2 linked regions of the Neurospora crassa OR74A genome follow. The protein of the gene in region 2 interacts with the protein of the main gene of each other region in a pairwise test. Links are inferred from orthologs where the notes say so. Each region holds a gene or a part of one and is shown on either strand. Other genes may lie near its edges. The genes, in order: NCU06110 and NCU02391.

Region 1 (4,240 bases), about 900 kb from region 2:
GGGCTCAGGTTGGCTTGGCTTCGTTCACGCTGTTAATGCTTCTTTTCTTTCTCTGTTGCTGCTGCTGCTGCTGCTAGGCGAAAGTTGATGGATATCGGGTTGTATACCTTGGGGCTGGACCTTGGCTCACCCGCCTTGATTCATGGGAATCGGACTTTTTGCTACTACTGGAAAGGAGGACTGGGATCGGAGTCGTGGAGCAGGAGTTTATTGGTCGGTCGGCAATGTCTTCTTTCTGTTCCTTTCTTTTTTCCGCTGCAGGCGACTCAAAAAGGGAGAGATACCAAACGATGGGACTTACGTACCAGTTTATCAACCTTACTACTACTATGTTATGTCTTCTTGCATTCCCTCGATATCTTGTCGCTTTTCCCAGGCCTGTACTTGTGTTGCTTGACCTTGTCATGCACTGTTGAAGCTCTCTTGTCCACGACGCGACATCGCAGCCGTCAAGCTGAGCAGAAGGATGACCGTTGATGATTTGGGGTCCGGCAGGACATTGTTACATTTTCAATGCCATATCCTCTCCACCGCCCCAGAGGTCACTTCTGCGCGACTTGCAAAAGCAAAGGTTTATTTGTTCCTGCTTCACGGGATTTTCGGACATAAAAGATGACAAGATGACTTAAGAGGTGCGTCAAGACGATTTTGGACTTTAAACGGCTATCTTAAGCATAAAGAGACCAACAGAAGGGACTGTACGTTCAAGAATTCATTGGATCCAAATGGACACGAACAAAGTTTAAACTCAAAAGATTCAACAAATTGCATGCATAAATCCTCCCCCATTTTAGTTACTACTTCCAACGTCTTGAACAGGCTTAGCACTTGTCGTTCTGAGCCTTGCGGAGGTCGAAGACGCGAATGGCCTCGTGGGCAGCCTTGACACCGCTGAGAGCCATGGCTCCGAAGGTAGGTCCTGTGGTTGGCCAGGGTTAGCATATGCAACTCAGATCAACTGAAGTAGGGGATAGTTCAACATACCCATGCGGTTGGCACCGTCAATCTCCGACAACTCCATACCGCCAACGATCAGACCCGGGACGATCTCGCGAGTGTTGTTGACAATAGCATCCTCGGCGGATTGCATATCGAGCCCGCGCATGCCGTTCAGGCGCTCCATCTGCTTCATGCTGACCAAACGCTTGACGGAGAAGGCACCAAAAGGACCATCGTGGCCCGTGGTGCTGATGATAACTGGGGCGTTGATGGTGTTGGGGTCCATGCAGCTCTGATCATCGTGATGCATTGACACGAGGGTCCAGTTGGTCACCACACCGGCAATCCTCACCTTGGCCTCGTCCTCGGCCTCGCCATCATCCGATGACGACGAAGACTCGGCGTGGTGCTTCCTGGTGATCAAGTCCTCGACGGTCGTGGCATTGAACAGCTTGACGTTGGGCCTCTGCAAGACCTTGCTCAGCACAGTCGAAGTGAACAGAGCGGCATGCTTGACCACCACGTAGTCACCCTCATCTTCATACGGCACGCCAACCTCGTCCAGGAAGACGTCGGCAGGCTTGCGCATCACCATGGCACTGAAGAGCTGTCCGCCCAACCAAGCGCCACCTCCCGGGGCGACGCCTGCTTCGACGATAGTGATGCGCAGGTCGGGCCGCAGGGTGGACAAGACGTAGGCGGCCGAGAGACCGCAAGAGCCGGCACCGACAATGACAATGTCGGTCTCGGCGTGGGCGTCCAGGTCAGCGAAGTAGCGGCGGGTCATGGCGCGCGAAACGGTAGATTCGCGAATGGGGGAAAAGGTGAAGGCGTCAGTGCCGAGGGTGGGCATGAGCTCCAGAAGAGGCTTGGACAAGCCCCTGGCATCACGCTCGACGGGAGCATCGTTCCTGCCTACGGCCTTGAGACCGACGTTGACAAGAGTGGGGACGCTCTGCGGCTCGAGAACAGAGGGAGACATGGTGATGATGGATCAGAGTTATCTGGGAATGTTAGAATGACTGTACGGGAGAAGGGGGGAGCGGGGGAGGAAAGTTGAAGCATGATCCTTTCGCTGGTATTATCCAGATCAAGTTCGTCGCCGTATATTCTCAGCCTGTACTTCTCCCCTGGGTACAGGTGCTAGAAGCGACCTAATACCCAGGACAGAAGTTGGCACCGGCTCATGCATTCAGATAGTTACCTCTGAAAGTATGTTTGAACGTGATCGAATCATGGTATAATCAACCAGCCGATGGGGAGTTCATGGCTTCAGCTCCTCCTGGAACGATGGTTTGTGGCCATCTTGGTGGAGGAGGTGGGTGGTCTGTACCCTGGTGTTGAGAGTCTGTCTGCTTGCTTGAGGGTGTTAGTATATCAACACCATGGGGGAGAGGAGACAGATGAAGCCCGAACAAGCTTGGTGATACTTGCGTGTTGGTATTTATTGCTGGTAGTCCTTGGAACGAAGACAGAGGTTGTTCGTTGATTCTGACGATGGGAAGAAGATGGGAAAGAATGGAAGAGAAGAGGCAGACTTTGTGTAGGGGAGCTGTTGCCCTTTTTATCGTTACTTGAGGCAAGTAAGGTAAGCGAGGTGGGTGCACATGTACCTACGCGACTCCCCTCCTACTCCCGGTTCAGTTCGAGCTGCATCCCGTCCCCTCTCCCCCTCGCTTGCATCCTTTTGCCCCTCTTGCCCCTCTTTCTTTTCCAACACTGCATCGTACACACTGACGGGAAGTATGCGGTTATCTGAACATGCCACACCTTCCATCATCCCATGCATCCTCACCACGAATGGTTATTTCGCCTTCCTGTTCCCCTCCTTTGCCCAAGTTTCACGGCATCGGCGATCCTCCGATCATGACCCAATGTCAGCCCGAGACTATCAAATCGTTTTCAGTTGTCGAAGCTATCAATATAGTTACCCCTCTTCATCTTGTCCGTGTCCAACATTAGAGGTTCGCTTGTTATCTCGATCCTCGACAGTGCGCGGCTTACAGACATCAATGCGTGGGCCGAACACCCCACTCTTCGGTGTCGGATGGACTCGCTGATGGCGTGAACATGAGGAAAGCAAAAATGAATGAACCGGCTAACTACGCTCAGCTACGGTACAACAGCAATTGAGGTCGCAATTTCAAGCAAGAGCTGCAGCTCGCTAATGATAGCGTTGGATGGGTGGTAGCACCGTTAACGCGGGACAAAGTCCGACACCTTGCCGACGCCGAGAACATTAACGGCCCGAACGTTCCCTTCCCCTTCTTGGCTACTACCCGTACTACGCCCCCACTTTTTTGGACCTCGTAGAACTCGCACCCCCTAAAGTGGGTGCTCACGGGTAATACGGCCACACCAGTAAAACGGCCACGTACATCTTGAACCTCAATATATTATAACGATTTTGAGTTTCCTATAATCCTCTCTCTTTATACTACCACAACGTCGTATCGCATTAGGGATAATCGCTGTCAATATGGAGGCACGTTTGCAACGAGCGGTCGCTTTTTATTACGATAATCCCGACGTCCCCGTCACCCATTTGTGCAAGACATTTGAAGTCCCCCGCAAGCAACTCTACAATTACATTAAAGGGATCCCAACTAAGAAGGGTACGCCCGTACTATACAAGTAAAAGCTTACTCTAGTTAATAAGAAGGTTCTATATAACTATATCGACCGTTTCGATAGAATTAACCTCGCTGTACGACCGTTGTATATTAAGGATATTGCAGATCTACTACTTCGAAGTAAGGCTCCTAAATCGGCCGACTCTAACAACGAAGAAATACCCCGCATTAGTATTAATTGGGCAATACGGTTTATTAAGCGCTACGAATATTCTAAAGTTAGGCAAAAGAAAATAGATAGTACCCAGAAAGATAATAAGGATATAAATAAGGTAAGTCCGTTATATTAATATTATTTATATAGGTAACGATTAATAAATAGTATAATAAGTAATAGTATACTTCGAGAAGCTCTATTAAATTATTTTATTAGAAGGCTTTATACCGTCGGATATATAGAATATAAATAAGACTAGTTTCTGTATTGGTATAGGTAAAGACTAGCTTGTTATTATAAAGCGGAAGCGAACCTACTACTTTGCTATCCCCGAGAATTGTAAATTAGTAATGTGTATTGAAGCTATTGCTGCTAATAGAGAGTACTGCCTGGGCTTTATTATCCTTACCGGTCAACTTCATATAGCCAATTAGTATCGGGTTAAAGAATTGGACCTACGAATACAGATTGCTACTGTATCTACTAGGTATTTAAATGACTAGCTGTTTTT
Region 2 (4,522 bases):
GATAGATGTACTGCATAAGTAGTGGCAAAGGAAGGGTAGAGAGCTGGCAGAGGGCAGCAGAGCGAATATCCGAAGGAATGAGGGCCGACTTCCTCAAACCAACATGCTTGGTCAAGCCCAGGCAGAGGGCAGGGAGGCCACGGAGGTTGGACGGGAACTGAAGGCCGCCACCCATACTGCCTCCGCCCAGCTCCTTCCTGAAGGTCTGCAGAAGTTCGGTGAGCTTCTGCTGAGGGAGATCCCTTGCCGCATCCAGGGAGTTTCCAAGGGCCTTTTCAACCGCCTTATGGCTGAAGTAGGTAGCGATAGCGCATTGATCGGCCGAGGCGTACACATCGGCAAGATTGGTGGTAGTCGGCAAAGCCAGAGTCATGACGCGAATGCGACGCTCACCATTGCAGGTTGTATGTAGTACCGCTGTCTGCAAGCAAACGAAATTCTTGGTAAGGTTCTCATCAATAGCAACCTCGACGACATAGCACTGATCACGGGGGAAAGCCGGGAAAGCGCACAAGTCGGAACTTCTGTTAAAGAAGTTGCCGTAGAATGTGCTCATCCGCAGTCCAGTAGTAGCGCGAACACGGAGGACGGCCTCGAGGCCAATTTCAGACGACAGGTAGTCACTGAATTCGGACGCAAACTTGACGGCGTCTTCGGCCCTAGCGGCGTTCCATCCCGGGTAGAACCATGTTTGACCACCAGTGTACCGCGGGAGGTTGCTCAGGGAGGCCACATCCTGATACTGGGAAGAGAAGAGGAACATGTCGATAGACACTTGGTTCTTGGAGCATTCCACGGCAAAGCTCTTGTAAAACGAATTGGCGGTTTGCAGCAACCCGCTTTCCTTGGACGTGCCGAGAAGTTTCTTGTCTTCCCTCATCTCGAGCTTTCCGTAACCCACGTTGGGCAGAGATGAGCTCAGCACCACGATCTTGCCGCCGAGAGGGGCGATAAGCTTATGACCTGCCCTGAGAGCTGACCCCATGCAATTTCCATTGCTCTGGTTGTTCGCAAACATCTCGGGCAGCTTGTTGAGGAAGCTTTCGATGTTTTGGCGGCACTCGGTGAGGGGGACCAGCAACTCGCCCGGAACCGGGAGGAATGGCTCATCCAGATCGCTGACCACAAGCATGCTCGTCTCGCCATTTTCCTCCGTATCTCTCGGGACTGAGAAATAATGCAGGCTTGAGTCCACGGCGATGAATCCAAGACGGGTGCGGCGATCGGCATTCGGTATCCTGTCGAGGCTATCCAGAATTGTCCTTGCACTGGTGGCCAAGAGACCTGTGGAGACAGCCGCGTAGCTGACATCAAACAAGAAAAGATAGACCAGAGGCTGGGGAGGCCTGACCATATACTCCTGCGGCGCAACGAACTCAACCACCGCATGGTTAAGCTCAGGTCTTTGCCATCTATCCACGCTCTTCTGGGCCGCCGCATCCCAATCAAAGGCCTGGGGAACATCGTTGGTTAGGTTGCACATGTTGCAACGCCATCTGTGACCGTGGTCAAGGAAGGTCACGAATGGGTTGATGTAGGATCGACATCTTCGGCAGCGCGAGATCACTTGGTCTTGCACAACTGGAACCGGATCGTCCAAGTCATGAAGAGCTGCATATGGCTGAATAACGAGCGCAAAGGGCAACTTGCTTTTCTTGAGCAGCGAGTGGGTGGTGGGTACGGCATTTAAGGTCGATCGCACATACTTTGGCGCGCAGTTGGCATCTGGGGAAGGGGTAACGCTAGACTAGCAGCAAAAAGTAAGCAGTGTGCACGTAACACAAGTCGAGAAGCCAGAGAGCTTACATTAGGGGGAAGAATAATAGGGGGAGGCGGCAGCTCTAGTTCGGCAACATTAAAGGGCTGGTTGAGTAGATCGGTGGGATAAAGCTGGTTCACAAGACCCCTCGTCTGGGCAGGAAGTTGCTGCGGCTGCTGCGGCTGTCCTCCAAAGCCCATAGACTGGATGCCGGCGGTAATACCGGCAACACCCCCGGGGGCAGGGCCAACGGCGGCCGGAGGAACACCTTGGGAGTAGTAGGGATCAGGGGCCTGATAGCCTCCGACTCCGGGCACGGCAGGCTGAGGCGCGCCGTACGGTGTTGTCGGAGCGCCGTACGCCACTTGTTGGGCATCTTGCGCCGGATATCCACCAAATCCCGGTGCTGCTGGCTGAGGGATCCCGTATTGTGTTGCTGCTGGCTGTCCGCCTACTACGGCATTGCCTCCTGTGGCAACCTCGAAGGCCTGGGCGGCGTATGCTCTCTTCTTCTTTTTGCCATGCTCGGCGCCGTGCTGGGAGGCGGCCGCCGGCGGAGGAGAGGCCGGGCTACCATATGCTTGTTGGGCGGGCTCGACAGGGTATTGGGGTTGCTCGCCGTACTGCTGAGGGGGATACTGGCCGTAGCCATCGTTGGGAGGAGGAGCCGCCATGGTGTTTGTCGCCCGCTGCTTGGGTCTCTGACGAGGCGGGAGAGATTAATGGCCGGGACCTGTTGATGGATATATCGACGACGCTTGTGGCACGCGAGAGGAACGGCGAAAGGAGTCAGGGGACAAGTCGTGGGTGTTGCGTAGCGGCGGACGGTGGAGTTGGTGATGGGGAGCTTTTGAGGCGCGCTTAGTTGGGAGTCGAAGTTGACAGCTCTCGACTTACGACAACAGACAGCATCAGGCGCCGGGCGGCGAGGGGCTGCCTCTCCACCTATCAGACTTATCAATCAGGAGGACAGGAGCTATGCTAGAGGTAGGTACTGGGAAGCCAGACTGGCCTTAGCTGCCTCGCTTTGGGCGGAGTAGGTACCAACGGGAGTATCCACACAGGCTGGGGCTAGGCAGCCAGGGTAATGGTTCGTACCTACCTAGGTATCAAGTCAGTATTGCCGCACCTCTGAAGAGTGACAGCGGGATCGAAGGTGTTGGACAATGCGCTGCACGTTAAACGCATAGAGCTCGAGGTACACCACTGCCCCATAGAACGGAATGTTACGGTAAGGTCAGAAAACTGGTAACTTACATACTTTCATCTCCAGATATACGCAGCACGTGACGCTCAGGCCTCTACTGCGTACATCGTAGTACTTAGTACACTTCAATAATCAAACCACCTCTAACTTCATACACCAATGCAATTCCCTACACCCCAAGTTCCGATGGAGGTCATTATGTGTTTCACCTAACCCCTTGGACAAGTAATAACCGAGAGGGTTCTCAAATTCGCACACCCTCATTTGTTGCTTGTTCCTGTATCTGTAGCTGGAGACAGACAAATTTCCCCAACGCGAGGTTGAGCTTATGACGGACGGCTGGGGACCTCGAGGGAGCTTCAGCGGGACGGTGGGCACGGCGTTTTGAGGAAACCAAGACTTCAACCAAGTCGCACGTCCCCAAACATCACTGGTCACCCACTCAGGGTGCCCAGCAACGTGCCGAACATTCCTATAGGGGTGGAGGAACCTAACGGACGAGACGGGGACATACATGGTATGAACATCGCAATCCAGTGAATCTCGGCAATATCGGCACAGTGGATATCTGGGAGAGGTATGTACCTTCCTTAGGGGTACGTGCGATCATATATATATGGTTATTGCATTCCGCATCCGATGTACTTTTTACCATTTGCACTGCCTCCAAAGCTCCCACCGTGCCACTAGGAGATGCCCGAACACTCTACCATAACAAGCCGGCATGACTCACTTCAAAGCCCAGTGCCCAGTCGGCTATGTCCTTTGCTACTACCAAGTCTTGACCCCTGCAAGTGCAAATCCGGGGCCAAGTAGTCTTCGCAGTTGGCAGGAGTTGTATGCGGAGATAATTCCGGCGGCCATGACGGATTATTTGCACTTCGGGGGAGTTTTACACTTGGGGGTGGTTGCACTTTTCAGGGGCTGATACTATGTATATCTATGATTCCGCAGTACTTTGTGACCTGAACCCTTTCTGTGCTTCTCACTCACCACTTCGTCATCTTCATCCCACCTAGCTTGTGTGCCACGGATACCTCTTCACCGAGTACCACTGCTTCGACTCTGCCTCTATCAAAACATTACATCTTACTCGCAGCCTACCTACTATCAGCTTGGTAAGACTCTACTCGGATCATCAACATATCGAGATATCTTCCCTCCTTCCTTCTTCGAGCGAGACCTCAGGATCTTGGGACCCGGCCACCACTGATAAGTCAGACGATTTCCCCATTTGGCAACTACACACCTCACACTACGTGCTCCACTACTCTGTGTTCGACGAGAAACACCCAAAAGCGAAGTATATACAGTAGCGAACGGCACCCAGTTTGCCGGAATATTCCCTTTATTTGCCTTCGTAGAGCTCGACAACACTCGCCATAAACAAAACTCACGCCGCAACCTTGAAAATCGCAGGAGTCCGAAAATGGCACCTTCATCTGCCTGGAGGTATGACACCATATCTCACTTCGCGTTTGCGCGAGACAACGTCAAGCAATAAAACCAAACAACGGAGGCTAACAAAAACCAGCCAGATCCTTCCCCTCATACTC

What was found.
Region 1: the proteins of NCU02391 (region 2) and NCU06110 interact in a two-hybrid assay, tested with the Schizosaccharomyces pombe proteins (2 studies listed by BioGRID). The link is inferred for Neurospora crassa OR74A from reciprocal best matches to the Schizosaccharomyces pombe genes sec24 and thi2.

The regions. Positions count from the first base shown.
Region 1 is NC_026507.1:1,764,167-1,768,406, forward strand, and holds NCU06110 (thiazole biosynthetic enzyme), read right to left. Parts: upstream 2,973-4,240; 5' UTR 2,374-2,972; exon of another isoform or gene 2,292-2,373; 5' UTR 2,273-2,291; exon of another isoform or gene 1,944-2,272; 5' UTR 1,922-1,943; coding exon 985-1,921; intron 920-984; coding exon 822-919; 3' UTR 295-821; downstream 1-294. UniProt on the Schizosaccharomyces pombe protein: Involved in biosynthesis of the thiamine precursor thiazole. Catalyzes the conversion of NAD and glycine to adenosine diphosphate 5-(2-hydroxyethyl)-4-methylthiazole-2-carboxylic acid (ADT), an adenylated thiazole intermediate.
Region 2 is NC_026507.1:2,660,125-2,664,646, forward strand, and holds the start of NCU02391 (protein transporter sec-24), read right to left. Parts: upstream 2,846-4,522; 5' UTR 2,434-2,845; coding exon 1,807-2,433; intron 1,748-1,806; coding exon 1-1,747. Other genes in the region: NCU02390 (hypothetical protein), read left to right, coding at 4,396-4,418, 4,501-4,522. UniProt on the Schizosaccharomyces pombe protein: Component of the coat protein complex II (COPII) which promotes the formation of transport vesicles from the endoplasmic reticulum (ER).